2 linked regions of the Nothobranchius furzeri genome follow. The protein of the gene in region 1 interacts with the protein of each later gene in a biochemical or structural test. Links are inferred from orthologs where the notes say so. Each region holds a gene or a part of one and is shown on either strand. Other genes may lie near its edges.

What was found.
Region 2: the proteins of nedd4a (region 1) and fgfr1a form a complex in vitro, tested with the Homo sapiens proteins (2 studies listed by BioGRID and IntAct, with this or other methods). The link is inferred for Nothobranchius furzeri from reciprocal best matches to the Homo sapiens genes NEDD4 and FGFR1.

The regions. Positions count from the first base shown.
Region 1 is NC_091749.1:60,023,805-60,028,192, reverse strand, and holds the start of nedd4a (E3 ubiquitin-protein ligase NEDD4), read right to left. Parts: upstream 2,856-4,388; 5' UTR 2,649-2,855; coding exon 1,359-2,648; intron 1-1,358. UniProt on the Homo sapiens protein: E3 ubiquitin-protein ligase which accepts ubiquitin from an E2 ubiquitin-conjugating enzyme in the form of a thioester and then directly transfers the ubiquitin to targeted substrates. Specifically ubiquitinates 'Lys-63' in target proteins.
Region 2 is NC_091757.1:34,228,844-34,232,495, reverse strand, and holds part of fgfr1a (fibroblast growth factor receptor 1-A), read right to left. Parts: intron 3,497-3,652; coding exon 3,260-3,496; intron 2,884-3,259; coding exon 2,794-2,883; intron 886-2,793; coding exon 713-885; intron 1-712. UniProt on the Homo sapiens protein: Tyrosine-protein kinase that acts as a cell-surface receptor for fibroblast growth factors and plays an essential role in the regulation of embryonic development, cell proliferation, differentiation and migration.

The DNA of each region.
Region 1 (4,388 bases):
AAGACGTCAAAAACTATAAGCACAAAAGACTTCAATAAACGGGACACATTTCTTCCCTGCAAATAAATTTTCACAGGTGATGCCAATACCTATGCGACTTCAAGGGATGTGCTCCTGGCTGCAAAGCATTGCACCTTCGAATACAAGATTTTGTCTTGGCTTGTGAGTGTTTATGGATGTGTAGACAAATAAACTTGTTGATATGATATGTAGATACATATGTAGATACATAAACTTGTTTATATTCAGTACAAGTTACATTTTTTTTCTGCTTCCGTTAGTTGAAAAATATGAGAAAAACCCCTTGAGAAAATAATCGTGAATTCAATCACAATTGCAGTATTGAAGAAAACATCGCAATTAAGATTGTTTTCCAAAATCGTTCAGCCCTAGTAAAAGGATATGAAAACAAACCTTTGCAGATTTAAAAAGTCTTAAGTGGACCCTCTTTGACAACCTGCTAAACGCAGGAAGAGACTGACAGCTGATATTTCACAAACATTGCTTGGTGGGGGGACCCACAGGGATGGTAGCACGCCACCCGTTTACTTGGAAACGAGCACACACACACACACACACATGTACGCAGATAGCCGACATGACTGTGCACCACTCTAGTATCATGCTGTTAAATTTGAATCCACAGGTTTTGGGCAGTGCTACAGACCAGCAGACTATCCGGAGTCAGGGGGAATATTTCAGAGGCACCTTATTTATATCGGCATGGGGCACTGCGCTTCCCAACTCTATAAATAGCCATGGTAAATACTTAACCTGATCACTTATAGTGCTAACAGAATAATAAAAGTGGAAAACTCTACTGAAATTGTGTTTTCACACTGATGAATGCTGGTATTCACAAGATGGAGAACCTGTCTTTCTAATTTACACATTTCTTGGTATCCAATATGCAGATGGATTTACTGTAATGTAACTGAACACCTCTGAATGTTTGTCCACACACAGCTTGTTAAATACATGACTTAAAGTTAAAGGGCTTCTCAGTTACTAGAAGTCTTGTAACCAGTCTAATGCTAAAGTCAAAGCAAAAACAGTTTAAGACTTTAGGGTGACATTATTCCAGTGTACTGGAACTTAGAAATTTTCATTGATGAAAACAACCAATCAGTTAAAAGCTGCAAGTTTACAACAAACAATTAATCAAGCGGTGTTTATTTATACTACTCATTAGAAACTCTCGATATGTCTGAACATTGATGCAGGAGAGGCTGAACCAATGACGGAGTGGAATCTACTCAAACTTGTTTGACAACAGTGGCAGCAGGTCTAGAGTGCTGACAAAAGGCTACTAGGTGATCAATATAAAGCCTCTAAAGAGTTAGAAATGTCATACTCACCTTGTCATTTTGAACTGAACCCTTTACTGCATTACTTTCTTTGTGATTCTTAACATCTGTAACAGAGCTTCGCAACCTTCCGGGGTAGCATGGGGATAAATGAATGTGCACATGTGGGGAGCGAGGGCTGCAGAGCTCGGGGTTAGAAACGTGGCATGAAATTCCAGTGTTAGGGTAGGGCACCTCGAGGGAAAAGCTCCTCTGTATGGCACGATGCTTTTCACCAAGCCCGATTTGATCTTTTCCAGACAAACCGCTTTTATCGTTTTTCTCTGATGGCTTGGATGAAGAAAACAAACAAGCAGAGGTACTGCGATACAGTTTTCTGTGATTGATGTTTTCCCTTTGAGATAGGTGAACTTGGTGGTGAGCTTCGTTGGCTGCAACCATTTCCACAACTCCCTTGGTAGATACTGTTGGTTTCTGGTGGGCAAAATGCAGCAGCACGCTGCTAGAGTGAAGATTAGGTCTGTCTGAGGCTGACGGAAGCTCCATCAACGCGCTATTGCCTTCTGATTTGCATTTTGTTCCATCCTGTAGAGGAATATTAAAGTGGACCATGTGTTTCATGTCCCTAAGTTCAGATGAGCAGCTTCGTTTTGATGTTTGGTGTCCACTTGCTACAGTGGAGCTCGCCCCTACTTTCTCTTGGGAGAAATCACTGAAAGACGTCTGAAGATGTGACTGATTAGTACCCTTTGGCAGTGGGTAAGCAAACGGAGTCACAGCACATCCTGGGGAAGCAGGTGGAGTGCTACATGGGCTCTTCGGAATAATAATCAGTGAGGAGCATCGTCGCAGCGGGACCTTGGACTTGCGACAAAGCAGAGTCCTCTCCTGGATTGTCCTGTGCTTTTCTGGAAGCTCTGGCTCAAAGATGCTGCTGCTGCTACAGTACCCCGCATCGCTGGCCATGCTGCTGTTGCATGAACCTCCGTCAGAGCCGGTACCTGCTCCAACTTCACAAGCCCCTGGTTCTCCATCTTCTAAACTGCAATCCAGTTTTCCACCGAGTTTCCCACAGGGCTGCAGCGCAATTTGCAAAACGCTCTTCTTATTACACCCTCCAGCGTGAACCCTGGGTATGAACACTGAAGAGCACTGACTGCTGGCAACGTCTGGTGACAGAGGAGTCACCTTCAAGTGAACAGAGCTGTGCGCCAGATTCTCCGCTGGGCCATGAGCCGACAGACTGACTCCACTCTCTTCACCTTGGCTGCTGAGGCTTTCCGACAGGGGGTCCGTGTTGCTTCTCCTTGACGCAAAATGCAAACGGAGCTGATGTGACATTTGTTCAACTCACTAATCCCTGTAGGGCTGGCGAGACGTACATGATCAAACTTGCTGGTGGAAAAAAAAAACGAGAGCAAACGCAACAGCTCCATGCGCTGTGATCACAATCATTAGTAGCTGCGCATTGCCAAAATAGCTCTGGTGACAAGCTACATTCCTCTCCAGGCTGATCTCAGCTTTTAGTCAGAGCAGGCCAGTGGTTCTGTTTGGAGACATGACCCAAACACATGACCTTTCAAACCGAACCATTAGCCCCTTTAAAATTCCTCGGCCCAATAAAGAAGAACAAAGCTACTCTAAAGATAATTGGAAAACCTTTTCCTCAGCTTTGCATTCTAATAAAAGCCTAGCGTAACTCGACTGTGCCTCCAAAAAAAAAAACAGACAAATTAGCATTTTTCTTCTGAAAATAAAGAAAAACAAACAAAAGCATGACAGTCCAACGTGCTGCATTTTAGACTGAAGCTCTGGTAAAGTGTCACATCTGCGTTGGCCCATTCGCTCAGGACTCCTGCTGCTGCTATGCTACTAATGTTTCTGCTGCTCTGTGCCCCACAAATAGTTTTACCCATTGCTATTGAATTACAGGAAATCAAACGAGTGAATGTCAACAAAATTCTGCATCAAACCAAGGAGCAGGTTGCAAAAGCACATTTCAGACAGTAAATCACAGAGCTCATTAGGATAACACAAGAGCTCCTTTTAGTGTTTTAGCAGTGACTTTAAATATTTCCTGCAGGGAACAGGACAGCTGCTGCCTAATGAGAAAAACGTGAGGTTTTAAGAAAAAATAAATGTCATGAAACTGGTTATCTGATGCCTCATGTAACAGTCAATGCTGCTCTTATTACTTCTCCATAGATGTTGACAGTTTAATTTATTAACAGTGAGGCTGCCTGACCTATTTCAGGGCATTACTTTGCTTCCAAAGTATAATAATGGAAGTCACGGCCGGGATAAGGACATGACTCACTGCAGGACGCTGTGGAACTCCTAACCTATTTTTTAAACCAACAGAACCGTGTGACAGTAATGCAATGGCCATACAATATCAAATGCTTATATAGAATGACGTCATGCGGCAATAATACAGAGACACGTCCCTTAAGAACTCCATGAGTTTGGTATCAAAGTGAACAAAAACAAAGGCGGTATTTAATCAACTTTTCAGAGAACCAGTCTGCTGTGTAGTCACTACAAGCTGAGTCAGAGAGGTGTGGTTCGAGTAAAGACTGGAAAAATCAATCAGCAGGTGCAGCAGGTGGATGAACTAGTTTCTTAAGCTGTGTTTATTTACTTTTAGGTATTTAACCAACCTCTCAGTCACTGTGTAACAGTTACTGTTTGTATGCAGCATCTAATCTGGAATATGCTACATCGATGGTTTAGTTCTTGAATGTTTTTAAAACAGTTCAAGTTTTTAATCCTCTACAGTACAGACTATTTTGAACAATTTAGGGGAAAATTCTACTAATTTAATAATAAACAACAGGTTAAAAGAGTGAGAAGGCAATTTGTAAAAGTCCAGTTTGTACATCAATGTTCTCAGTTTGGTTCCATTTCCGAGTGGCTGAAGGAGCTGCTTGATCTGTGTTGATCTTTGTTCTACAGCAAATCTTTTCCTTATTACTACTATGTAAAGATTTTTAGTATATTTTTCCTTGAAAGTGTTTAATCTACCCTTTTTGTCCTGAATAATAGTGTAGACCACATTTGGTGATTTGTTGAATATTTGGT
Region 2 (3,652 bases), on another chromosome or scaffold:
TCACTGAATGTAATTTCCTTAAGTTAGAAGCGGGTTAACCTGGTTCCAACACTTTTAATCCCTTAAATCTGTAATCAATAACAAATAAAGTGTAGAATTAAAGTTTATTCCAGTCCCTAAAAATCAAATTAGTTGAATATATACAATTGTAACATTTAGAGCCTTTACACAACAGCATAAAGAAATCCATAAAAGATCCAACCCATCAGGTAAGACTAGAATCGAGGTAATAGTCCTATCCATCTTTATTTCATTTCAACCCTCACAAATTTAAATACAGGCTGCCGGCAAACAGGAAGAAATTTAGACAGAGTAATCACATTACCTTCACGAATACAGGAGGTAAATTTACTACTGCATGGATGTAATTACGGAAAAGATGATCAGTGTCACCCAGGAAGAGGACAGCGAGCTGCTTTGCTTCACCTAAACAGATGGCTAGGACTGCCGACCTAAAGGTATAACTGTAGCACAATATTCCTTCTGATAGCATAGGGTTTCAAACAGCATTGTGTCTCAAGTCAACTGTGAAACTTGTCTCTCCTATACACCCGCAGAAAGTGCTTTACTCCAGGGGAGGAGCTGTGAGCTAATGTGGAGATATCAGACTCTTCATCTTGGTAGTGAAACATCCCAGAATTAAAAATAGAAGGTAAAACAGTTGGAAGTGTCAATAGGAGGAAAAGATGATCAACGCTAATTTCTTATTTACCTTGAAGCCCCCGATGCGATGGTCTCTCTTAAACTCCTTTCCGTTCTTATACCATTTCAGAGTGGGAGTTGGGTTGCCGCTGGCCTGACATCGAAACTTCACTGTCTTACTGGCAGGAACAGCGTGAAGCTTCTTCTCCATTTTTTCTGGATGAGCCCACTGCGGGGCCATTGCTATTCACAAGAGCAAAATACATGCTTTAAATGAAGGGAATTTAAAACATTTAGAATTTTTAACTAAAGAATTATCTGGTTAAAAAGAAACAAAAAGTGGTCTTAGGAAAACAAAAATTTCTTGCAGACTGCCCACAACCTTAGTGGTGGGAATTAAAACCCTGATTGTTTCAGATTTCCACTCATCTGAACAAATCACCTTAAATTTAATTAAGGACACTCTCTGCCTGTAAAATATTTGTAAGAATTATTTGGGCCATTTAAAGCTAAAAATTTACATTTATTTTCTTTTTTTTTGTCATTTTTGGAAAAGCAGTGACTGATTTGAAAGGGACATTAGATACAGAGTATGCAGTGGGTACAGAAAGTATTCAGGCTTGTCAATTTTTCAAACTTAAATTGCCGCCATTTGCTAAATCAATTAAATTCATTTTTGTCATTAATGTCCACGCAGCAACCCATGTTGACAGAAAAACACTGAATGTTAGAAATTTATGCAGATTTATTAAAAAAGACAAACTGAAGTATCACATGGTCCTTAGTATTCAGACCCTTTGCTCAGTATTTGGCAGAAGCACCCTTATGAGCTAATGCAGCAATGATCTTAGTAAAGATGCAACAGGTTTCTTACACCTGGATTTGGGGATCCTCTCCACTTCTGTCAGGTTGGATGGCGAACGTTGGTGGACAGCCATTTTTAGGTCTCTCTAGAGATGCTCAATTGAGTTTTAGTCGGGGCAAGTGATGAGCAGTGCCTGGTTTTCTCCACACACCACCACTTATAAGTAAGGGCAAAAGTTCTATCTTGGTCTCCTCAGACCAGAGAATCTTATTTCTCATCATCTCAGGGCCCTTCAGGTGTCTTTTAGCAAGTGCTTCCATTTAAGGATTATGGAGGCCACTGTGCTCTTAGGAACTTTAGGTGCAGCAGAGATATTTTGTAACCTTGGCCAGATCTGGGCCTTGCCACAATTCTGTCTCTGCGCTCTTCAGGCATTGTGAGCTGTAAGGTCTTGTATAGACAGGTGTGTGTCTTTCCTAATCAAGTCCAATCAGGGTAATGAACACAGGTGGATTCCAATGAAGGTGTACCATCTCAAGGATGATCAGAAGAAATGGAAAGCACCCGAGGTAAATATACGAGTGTCACTGCAAAAGGTCTGAATACTTAGGACCATGTGATATCAGTTTTTCTTGTTTAATAACTCTGCAGAAATTTCTGTCAATATGGGGTGCTGTGTGTACATTAATAATGAAAAAAATTATTTAATTGATTTTAGCAAGTGAATGCAATATAACAAAGTGAATGTTGACAGGGGCCTGAATACTTTCTGTACCCACTGTATCAGATAAAACCAAAATGCCAAGTATAAACTAGACCACAACCGAATGCATTCAAAATCACAGTCATCACAAAAACATTTCAAGTTTAAAAGCTTGGCAGTTCTTTTTAATTAAAAACAAACACTTTAATTAAAAACTCCAGCTTCAAAAAAGTCATTTGTGGAGTGTAAATTTCATTGAGAGATAAGTCGGGCAACAAACTCAAGGTCGACATGCTTTTCATGCTTGGCAGCTACTGGATTCTTTGTGGGCTGAGCGGGAAGTAGCAAGAAGATGAGAAAGCCAAACTGTTTTAATTACACTATAGACAAGTTGGGGCTCATCCAAGGTTAACCACGATTAATCACCACAGGAACATTAATCATGTAAGAGCCGTCACAGAGGCAGTGGAGAAGGTCTGAATCTGAGTGAAATAATTAGCCCGGTTGTGACCCACACACACGGCACGCCTATAATCGAATTATAAAGCTCTGAAATCACTGGCTGTTCCCAACAATTACTCACAATCCTTCTTGGGTGAGTCAATAATCAGCAATGGTAGTATATGGAGATCTGACCACTTACGCATCAGCTTCTGACTGGCCAACTGCTTGTTTTCTTCTGATGAAGACTCCTCTTCATCGTCATCATCCTCAGATGATGCCAATATATCAACTAGTGGGCAGAAAAGCATTTTGGGAACTCAACTTTATGTACATTCAGGTTCACCAGTGATGCAACATTAAAGGACAAGAGGTCTTGAAGTTATAACAAAAAAAAAAAGAAAAAAAAAGACAACACTAAAAATTCACTTCATTTGTCAGATTTGTGAAAATAAACCTATTTTGAATCTTGCAAAAAGAATCATTCCTACCTTGGAAGTTATTTGCAACATAAGACGAGTAAATGAGTATTTATGACCTGCTTATTAAAATGCAGCCTAACTACTAAAATAAACAGGAAATATTCAATCGTGCATCTCTAACAAAATCAGAAGCACAGCAAGCAAGAATTACACATGAAAACATTTTACAGTTTTGTGTTTTTGTACCTGACACATTAAAGAACACACTGTGGTTGCCAAAGGTGGTGCATCCATACAAGCCAGAGTCTGTCAGCTCCACGGCCTCGATCTCCAGCTGACCGTTGTGGATGTGGGCGTGTTCTCCATCCACAAGAGCAGCATGGTCTTTGGTCCAGTTCACAGTATGGATGGAGTCTTTGGGAGAGCAGCTCAGATACAGGCGATTCCCAAGAAACAGGGTGAACAGCTCTGCTTCCACAGGGACTACAAAGGAAGCAAGTTACTGGTTACTGACTTCCTTACAGCCCACACCACTTAACCTTGATGATGGTTTTAACCACCAGCACAAAAGCCATGAAAGCACACCAGCATTACACTAGAAGCTCCATTACTTCTTTAAAACATAATGATTTGGTTCTT